Linked DNA regions of Coturnix japonica. The protein of the gene in region 1 purifies or fractionates together with the protein of each later gene. This does not show direct contact. Links are inferred from orthologs where the notes say so. Each region holds a gene or a part of one and is shown on either strand. Other genes may lie near its edges.

Evidence for each region.
Region 2: the proteins of PPP6R3 (region 1) and AURKA purify together in Homo sapiens (affinity purification with mass spectrometry; 6 studies listed by BioGRID and IntAct, counting the BioPlex papers as one, with this or other methods). This does not show direct contact. The link is inferred for Coturnix japonica from reciprocal best matches to the Homo sapiens genes PPP6R3 and AURKA.

The regions. Positions count from the first base shown.
Region 1 is NC_029520.1:8,230,908-8,235,195, reverse strand, and holds the start of PPP6R3 (serine/threonine-protein phosphatase 6 regulatory subunit 3), read left to right. Parts: upstream 1-1,488; 5' UTR 1,489-1,632; intron 1,633-2,420; exon of another isoform or gene 2,421-2,538; intron 2,539-4,288.
Region 2 is NC_029535.1:10,858,926-10,862,866, forward strand, and holds the end of AURKA (aurora kinase A), read left to right. Parts: intron 1-194; coding exon 195-386; intron 387-737; coding exon 738-876; intron 877-1,246; coding exon 1,247-1,395; intron 1,396-1,977; coding exon 1,978-2,152; intron 2,153-2,727; coding exon 2,728-2,886; 3' UTR 2,887-3,441; downstream 3,442-3,941. UniProt on the Homo sapiens protein: Mitotic serine/threonine kinase that contributes to the regulation of cell cycle progression.

The DNA of each region.
Region 1 (4,288 bases):
GTTGAAAGAGTAAAGGTGGGGGAAAGCGTTACAGGAGATAGGGAACTGAAATTACTGTGGGAGGGGAAAACATAGGGGACAGAGTACATGATGGTTGGACGCTGTACTTATTTCTGCAGCTTACAGTATAACTAGTTTTATTACCAGGGCCTAATTTGGTGTCTGATGTTAATAATTAATATAACTGGGTCTTCCCCTGCTCCCCAGCATTTCTAATGAGTAGCATTTGCTTTTTAGCTTTATAGTTAGGCCTCATTGCCTCAGGAATCTTCTCCCTGTTGTTGCCTTCCGTGATCCCAGAACGGCCCTTTCCATTGAGGGATGGCGTGGAGATCCCACCCCAGTCCCCAGCAGCTTTTGCTTAGAAATGCTAATAGGATCAGCGTTGGAAACGAGATTAAAAGACCGAACTTGAACATTTTGTTTCAACTAAATGGATTAACTCGTGGGGTTTGGTGCAGCCAAGCATCCACGTTCCCCCTCAGCAGCAAAACCATGAAGTCGTTGTTCAGAAATGCTTCTTCCTTCCCCTTAAAGCTACTTAGTTTTCACAATGCTGATAAGCCCTCGGCCTAAATCATTAACATTCTTCGAAGGTTCTTTTTTTTTCCCCTCTCTCATCCTGTGAGGAGGATAAAGGGGTTTGTGAGGGTTATGGCTAAATCTGGTTGTTGGCTCAGCTGGCCTTGCTCTACTAGTCGTTACTTTGTTGTTGAATTAACACATAGACAAGAGTGGCGGTCCCGCACCCCACTGCTGGAAGGGCCACGAGCTGAGCTGGTTGGGCCGGTTGCGAAGTAGAGCTTGTCTCCCAGGGAGTGCCCTGTGTAGGGTGAGCACAAGAAAAAACACATTATTTAAAGCCTTGCTTTTTCTATCCTAGACACAGCCGCGTCCCAAAACGAAAACAGAGAGCTCCACACTGCAATTTACATTGGGGTTAAAACAAGCCCTCTGGGCTCGAGGAAAGAAAATAATCCCTGCGCTGGAGAATGCGGGCATCGATCCCGCTACCTCTCGCATGCTAAGCGAGCGCTCTACCATTTGAGCTAATTCCCCACTGCGCAGCCTCCGCTCTCCGCGCCTCCCCACACGGCCTCCCCCGCCCCCCTTGTTGTCAGGCAGTTTGGCGCCGTGCTTGTGCACAGCGGCCAATGCGGACAGCGCCCCTCCCGCCATGCGCCGCGGCTCCGGATTGGACAGAGAGAGTTTATTATTTTTTAAGAGGCTTCCGCTCTTCCGATTGGACGATGGAAACGCCCGTCACGGTGACGTGCCCTGTTGCTAAGTGGGGAAGGTGGGATGAGAGGTGCGCCCTTCTCGTGCGCCGATTGGCTAGAAAGAAATCGACGGCCCGCCCCCATCCCCGCTTAAGCCTGTAGGAGCATTCTGACTGGGTGACTGACAGCGAGGATACTGCCAATGAGAGGCCGAGCCGCACACGCCACCCAATAGGAAAGGGGCGGGGCGGTGCCGGGGCGCTATGATTGGCAGGCAGGGCGGAGGGAGAGGAGGGCTCGCAGGCGCTGATATGTCCGCCATCTTGGAGCGTAGGTGATGGTGGCGAGCGGTGGCTTTCCCGCCTGAGCGGAGGCAGCGCGGGGCCTGTGGCGGGGTGACGCTGTGTCCGAGGTACGTTGTGTGCAGCGGCTCCTCGGCCTTCCTCCGCCACAGCTCCGGGGGGCGCAGGCCGCGCTCGGGGCCTTCCCGCGGCGGCGTGGGCCTGGCGCCTGCCCCCTCCGCGCGGGGGCTCCGCGGGGTCGGAGCCCGGCGGGACCGCGTGGGCCGGCCCGTATCGGCCCCGAGCCCGGGCCGTGCCGGGCTGCGGGTATGGGGGGCAGCCGGGCTGGGCGCGGCGGGGAGGGCCCAGGGCCGCCGCCTCGGGCCCTTCGGTGGGGCTCAGAACTGCTGGGCGCCCGCGGAGGGGCGGTGCTGGTTCGGAGCAGCGAGCGCCGCCGGCTGGGGCGGAGCGGAGGGCCCTGAGATACGGTGCGGTACGGTGCGGTGCTCCCGGGGCAGGCCGAGTGCTGCTCCGTGCCGCCAGCAGTCACTTGTGTGGGTACCGCTTACAGAACTTCTGTGCCTCTGTGATAAGCCTGGATCACATCACTGATGGCTAACTTTGTTTTTACTTCTTCAAAATCACTGTATTCCTGCTGTTTTTAAAAAAATAATTATTTTTATTCATTATTATTATTATTACTTTTTGTTAGAACTTGCTGGGAGCGCGGCACTATTGATTTATCTGTTGCTAAATACACCTGGCAAAACCCAACTTTGAACCTGCTGCTTGTTTTTGTGTTGCTTTAGTAGTTAGAAACTTCTGTGAGCATAAGGGGGAGTTGGTTGGTGATGCAGCCTTGTGACATAAGCGCAGGTGGAGCTGAGGTCAGGGGATTCTCTCCACCAATGTGACATAAGGAGCAACACGCCTATTCGTGCTATCCCAAAGTTCTGGGCGGAGGAATATAGAAAGCTTAAGGGGGATGTAGAAGCTTTAGGAAACCTTCCTGGAGAGGGATTGCTTAAAAATGAAAGGTTGTATCGCGGCTTGTGATACTCTTTAGGTAGACAGTGTCATAAGTGGGATGGGTGTAAATGTACTCTTGGCTGTTTAGATGTGGTGGTGGCTTTTTTTTTTGTTTAAATGCTGAATATTAAGCAGGTTTAATCTATGATAGGATCGTACAAGTGAACTGCACAAATACCCGGCACCTTTCTTCTTATTATTAGTCGTGAACTGCTCAAACCCGCATTTCAGTGATCTTGCTGGAATACCCAAGTTTGATAAACTGCTACGTAGTTTCAGTACAGCACATATGAGCCCTATTGCTTAGCTCTGCGTTACTTCTTTGTGCTCCCGTGGGGAGGCACGGACTAACTGTAGCTCGCAGGAGCCTTTATTATGCAAATCTAAAAGAACAATACAGAATTATGTTTCCAATATACAGCTTCTAAACGAGACCCCATGCAGATGTGGTATACAGCCAGCATGTGAAGTTCTTAACAGCTTAATATTCCATTACGGAATGAAGGATATTAATTAGTTTGTGTGTGCATCTTTACAATATTGCTTGCAAACTGTTTGCTGTGCTGCTGTTGATTTGATAAAGTGAGGAAATCTGGCTGTTTCCTTCCGAGCGCTTATTTCTTGCACTTAACAGAGGTGATGCTATAGACAGGACACCAAGTGGAGTGAATCAGACGATGATCTCAGGGTGAGCTTCAATTAACTCGAATAGAAATTCTCCCATATTACAGCAGAAAATGATGTGTGTAACATTAACAGATGGTTAGAGAGTGAACTCTAGTGCCGTGGCTCAACAGCTTTGCTTCTGTGCTCAGCTTAAGCTTGGGGTGCACATACTGTGCTGTGCTGCACTACGCAGCTGGCTCTGAAGCAACCAGTGTGTGACTGAAACCTAAGGAGAGGGATGCTGTGCTGAGCTCACTGGTGGTGTTCCCTTTCTCTAAACTGATGATGTCCTCTTTTGTCCAAGTGCTTAAAAGGCTCTGTAGTATTTATTCAGCTCCGCAGGCAGTTAAGCAAATTGCTTTGTATCACTGTATTATTTCATCTACTGGCTTCAGTGTTGCAGCACTGGACGCAGTATCTTTGTAGCAGTGGACTTGTGTGTTCCTATGAGTTCATTCATGGCCTTTGGAAGCTGAGATGGAAATACAGCCTCTGTGGGCCTGTTTCCATAGTAAGATGGGATGTCACACCATGTAGTATCGAGTTCTGGTGGTCATGTAGCATTTTCATCTGTGACCCTCAAGGTTTCCATATATTGTGTCACATGGCAGGTTTAGGATGGTGTGTTTCTCAAAGCAGGCGATGCATCTGAATTGACACAAGTAGATACATTTGATAGCACTTCTCTAGAGCAAGACGAGAGCCGTGGTTTTTGGCAAAGCTTCCCATGGTAATAAAACACATAGGGATAGATGAAGTTGGAGGAGAAGAGCAAAGGACTCGAAGCCATTTAGTGATTGGGTTCGGTTCTGGTGTTTAGGGTGTTGGGGAAGTCTGGAAGATTAAGCAGAAAGTACCGAGAGAGTCTGAATGCTGAAAGCTTTGCATGTCACATGGAAGCGTTTTGGTGATGTGTCAATGTTCCGGCATCTGTTGTAGAAACCATATGCTACTAAGCAACTGAAGTAAAATGTTTTTCTACTCTTGGGTATTACATACAGCTCTATAGCTGGTTTGGGATGTTTTTTAGGAATCTGGATGGACTGAAGTTTCTTTTTGCTGTTTCCTCAGTATCATAGGATTGTTACAGTT
Region 2 (3,941 bases), on another chromosome or scaffold:
TTTGCTGCAGTATGTAGCTGTATCTCTATGCATATGCTTTAGAAGCAAGAGAGAAGCTTTCCCTTTGAGAAGTCTCAATGCATGTTTTGTCCTCTTGGTGGTGTTCCATTAAAGACTAAAGTCTATCAGCATATAAGTGGAACATTGCTGATACACTCAAGCATTATTCTGTAACTTTCTGTCTCCTTTTGCAGAAGACAGTGGTCTCTTGATGATTTTGAAATTGGTCGTCCTCTGGGGAAAGGAAAATTTGGCAATGTATACTTGGCACGTGAAAAACAGAGTAAATTTATTCTTGCACTGAAAGTGTTGTTTAAAGCACAGCTTGAGGATGCTGGTGTAGAACATCAACTACGAAGAGAAGTTGAAATACAATCTCATCTCAGGTAATATAACTGTTACCCTCTTCTTAGTTTATGCTCAGTTAAAAAAGAAAGTAAACTCACTTGAAGAAAAGCAATTCTGTAATACGTGACACCTTGAAACTGCTTGTTAAGAAACTGCTTGTTAAGGTTCTTGCCATTCTGCCCCTGCCCCACCACCGCATGGACCAAAAAGAAAAGAGAACCCAAACATAGAAGCCAAGCACCTGGCCAGTTCTTACAAGTGGATGACTGCAATTTCTCAGTCTAAGCTTGTTCCTGGTATTCTGTTTCCTGTCAAATAAGCCCAACTTGCTGAATGAATTAGTTGTTTCACAGAAAATATGTTCAGGAAGGCATTTCAATTTCTTGCAGGCATCCCAACATTCTCAGACTATACGGCTACTTCCATGATGTTACAAGAGTCTACCTTATTCTAGAGTATGCACCTCGTGGAGAAGTCTTCAAGGAGCTACAGAAGCACACCAAATTCGATGAACAAAGAACTGCAACTGTAGGTTGTTCTAATTGCTTGTACGTTGCTTGCTCCTGTGTAGCATACCTGAAGTATGCAACTTTCTCCTGAAGAGCTAGCAATTTTCAGTTGCATAAAACTAACTTTTTGGATGCTAGCTTGCTTATGCACTTGCAGCCTGTTTAGGAATATGTTGGGAGGACAAACAACTTCAGTGTCAATGAATAATGTTCAGCATTGCCCAGCACTGTAATTTGTGTGGTCACTTCAAGCAACATCTGTTGCTTGTGAGTGCAAGGAACAATTTTTCTGCTCCAAACTGCTAATTATGACTAGAGAATATTATACTGTAGCTAATAAAGCTTGAGCATCAGTGTCTTCATATTTGACAGTTCTGTTTTCTTTGCAGTACATTACAGAACTAGCAGATGCCCTATCATACTGTCATTCCAAGAGTGTGATTCACCGGGACATCAAACCAGAAAACCTGCTGCTTGGCTCAAATGGAGAGTTAAAAATTGCAGACTTTGGATGGTCTGTGCATGCTCCATCCTCTAGGTAAGATCACAGTATATACCTTGTACAGTGAAATTCTTCTGTAATGAAAATTATAGCTTTCTTGCCAAACTTAGTTATGCAATGGAGGTAAATGTCAACTTACTGAAATACTGGGGGGGAGCATTTAATAATTGGGCCAGTGCTGTCAAGCTCTTAATATTTGATTGGCGTAGCATAGAGGGAACGTTATCCTGCTTCTCCATTTGTGTATCTGACAACTTACTGAACCTGAAACAAGGGTGTTAGTGCGCTGGTTTAGGGTTACAGTGGTCCCTGAAATGAAGATCAGAACTTCAGTTCATGCTGTACCTGGAATGTTTCCTTAGTATGAACTGCACCCAATGAAGAAAGCCTCACTGACCTGTGAGCCAGTGGGAGAGGCAAAAAGGAAGGGCAAAACTGCCTGTCATGATCAGAATACTTCAAAGCAAACCTAGAATGACTGATGGAATTCCAGAGATACTGGGTTTATCTGGGGTAGACTACACTGAGATACAGATAAGAACACTGGAATCAAGATGCTAATACTAACAAACAGCCACAAAGGGTAAATGATACACTGTACTCTGTGCTTTTCTTCAGGAGATCAACTCTCTGTGGGACACTTGACTACTTGCCTCCTGAAATGATTGAGGGAAGAACACATGATGAAAAGGTGGATATTTGGAGCCTGGGGGTTCTGTGCTATGAATTCCTTGTAGGAAAGCCACCTTTTGAAGCAGCAACATATCAAGAAACCTACAGAGCTATTTCCAGGGTATGTACCATAACTTTGACTAGGTGAATTTTGGTTTCACTTCTTGTCTTCTTGAAAGTTTAATATTGCTTTTGAGGGAAGGAAAGCCATAACGAGATACACAGAAAACTAGATCCCTAAAGCTATCCTGAAGTGACTCCAGTAGAATTACAATAAAGACAGCTTTCCTGGCTGCTTGGTTCTGTTCTGTTTCTACCTGTATCTGAACACCAACCTTTTCATATAGCAGTTTATTCTTCACAATCTCCTCCACTACTTTCATGTTTCTGGTATATAAAATATTAATTGCTTGAGGTATCAGGAAAAACTTAAATTATATATTTCTAGAGTTCTGTAAACTTGAGAGGTTCCAGCAATGAGGTTTTATGTTGGGAGCACCCAAAAAAGCACACTAGCTGAACTTTGGCAAGCAGCGAGAGCCTTGTGATGAAATTACTAGGTACAAGGTACATAGCCCACAAGGCTGACAGTTTTCTTTGCTCTCTGTACCTTGGGGGGCAGAACCCTATTGCTTTCCAGTTTTGATTAGTGCCAAAGAATATTGCATCATCTTTTGTCTTGTTTCCTTTTCTTAGGTGGAATTCAGGTATCCAGTATTTGTAACAGAAGGTGCAAGAGATTTAATTTCAAAGCTTCTGAAACATAACCCATTCCATCGGCTGCCCTTGAAGGATGTACTTGTTCATCCCTGGATTACAGCAAATTCTACAAAGCTGCCCAACAATAGGAAGTGATGTTGCCACCCCATCCAGAATATAGTCTTAACAAGGGTAATCTCATTGGACTAACGAGGAGATTTGTACTGTGACTACTGTAATACAGTAAGAAGAGCAGGTCTTGGAATCCAGTGGCAATTAAGAACACAAGTTTTGGGTTGGTTATCATCTTGAACTGACCTTGAATTGCAACGTAATCTATTTGACTTCTAGCTGGATGTTGTGGAATACTTAATGTACTTGAAAAATAACTACACGTGGGCCAGATTTATTCATGTAAGTATTCAAGGTCTGTTCAAGGCCTTTATGGTATGGTCTGTCATAGTTATAGCACATTGTTCCAATAACAAGAGACAGTGATGGTTCTATCTTACTGAACAGTGCAATATCCCAGAGATACCTGCCTGTGAACTCACTGGGCTGCTAAAGGGTATCATACCTGTGGTGTAATCTGAAACTGAGGTGAATGCATTTGTGTCCTAAAAATGAATGATGTGTGCATTTTGTCTCTAGTTTTTTGTCTTATATGTGAGCGCTCAAGTATCTAAATAAAGATTGCTTATATATTGAAAAGCATGGTAAGGTTCCTTACAATACATAGTATCTTGGGTGCTGGCTGCCTCCAACTTCCTGTCATTACTGTCATACTAGGCACATCTTGACTTACCTCCATGGTCACAGACTCTAGCTCTGTCCAGAAGTAAGTTGATATAAATTAAGTTCTTGCTGTAAGTGCTGGTGTTGTGGAAGTAGATGCAGCTATTATTCTTCAGGAAAGTACTAGAAGTGTTACTAAATACCTCACGAGAGTTTCACAGTCACTTAAAAACTAAATCTGCTTCTTTCTTTGCAGCTGAAGTGTAATAGTCATAGGTGAGGTGCACATACACACCACAAACAAGGAACAAAAAACCAAAGCATGCTGCTTACCAATCCATGTTTCCAATTCTCTGGTGTTTATACTCTGGGCTCCAATTTTTTTCCCCTCTATTTAGAAATTATTAGAAGCAGAAGTAATAGATTAGAACCTGGGCTTCATAGCTACCATAGACATAAATGGCAAAGCATCTCAC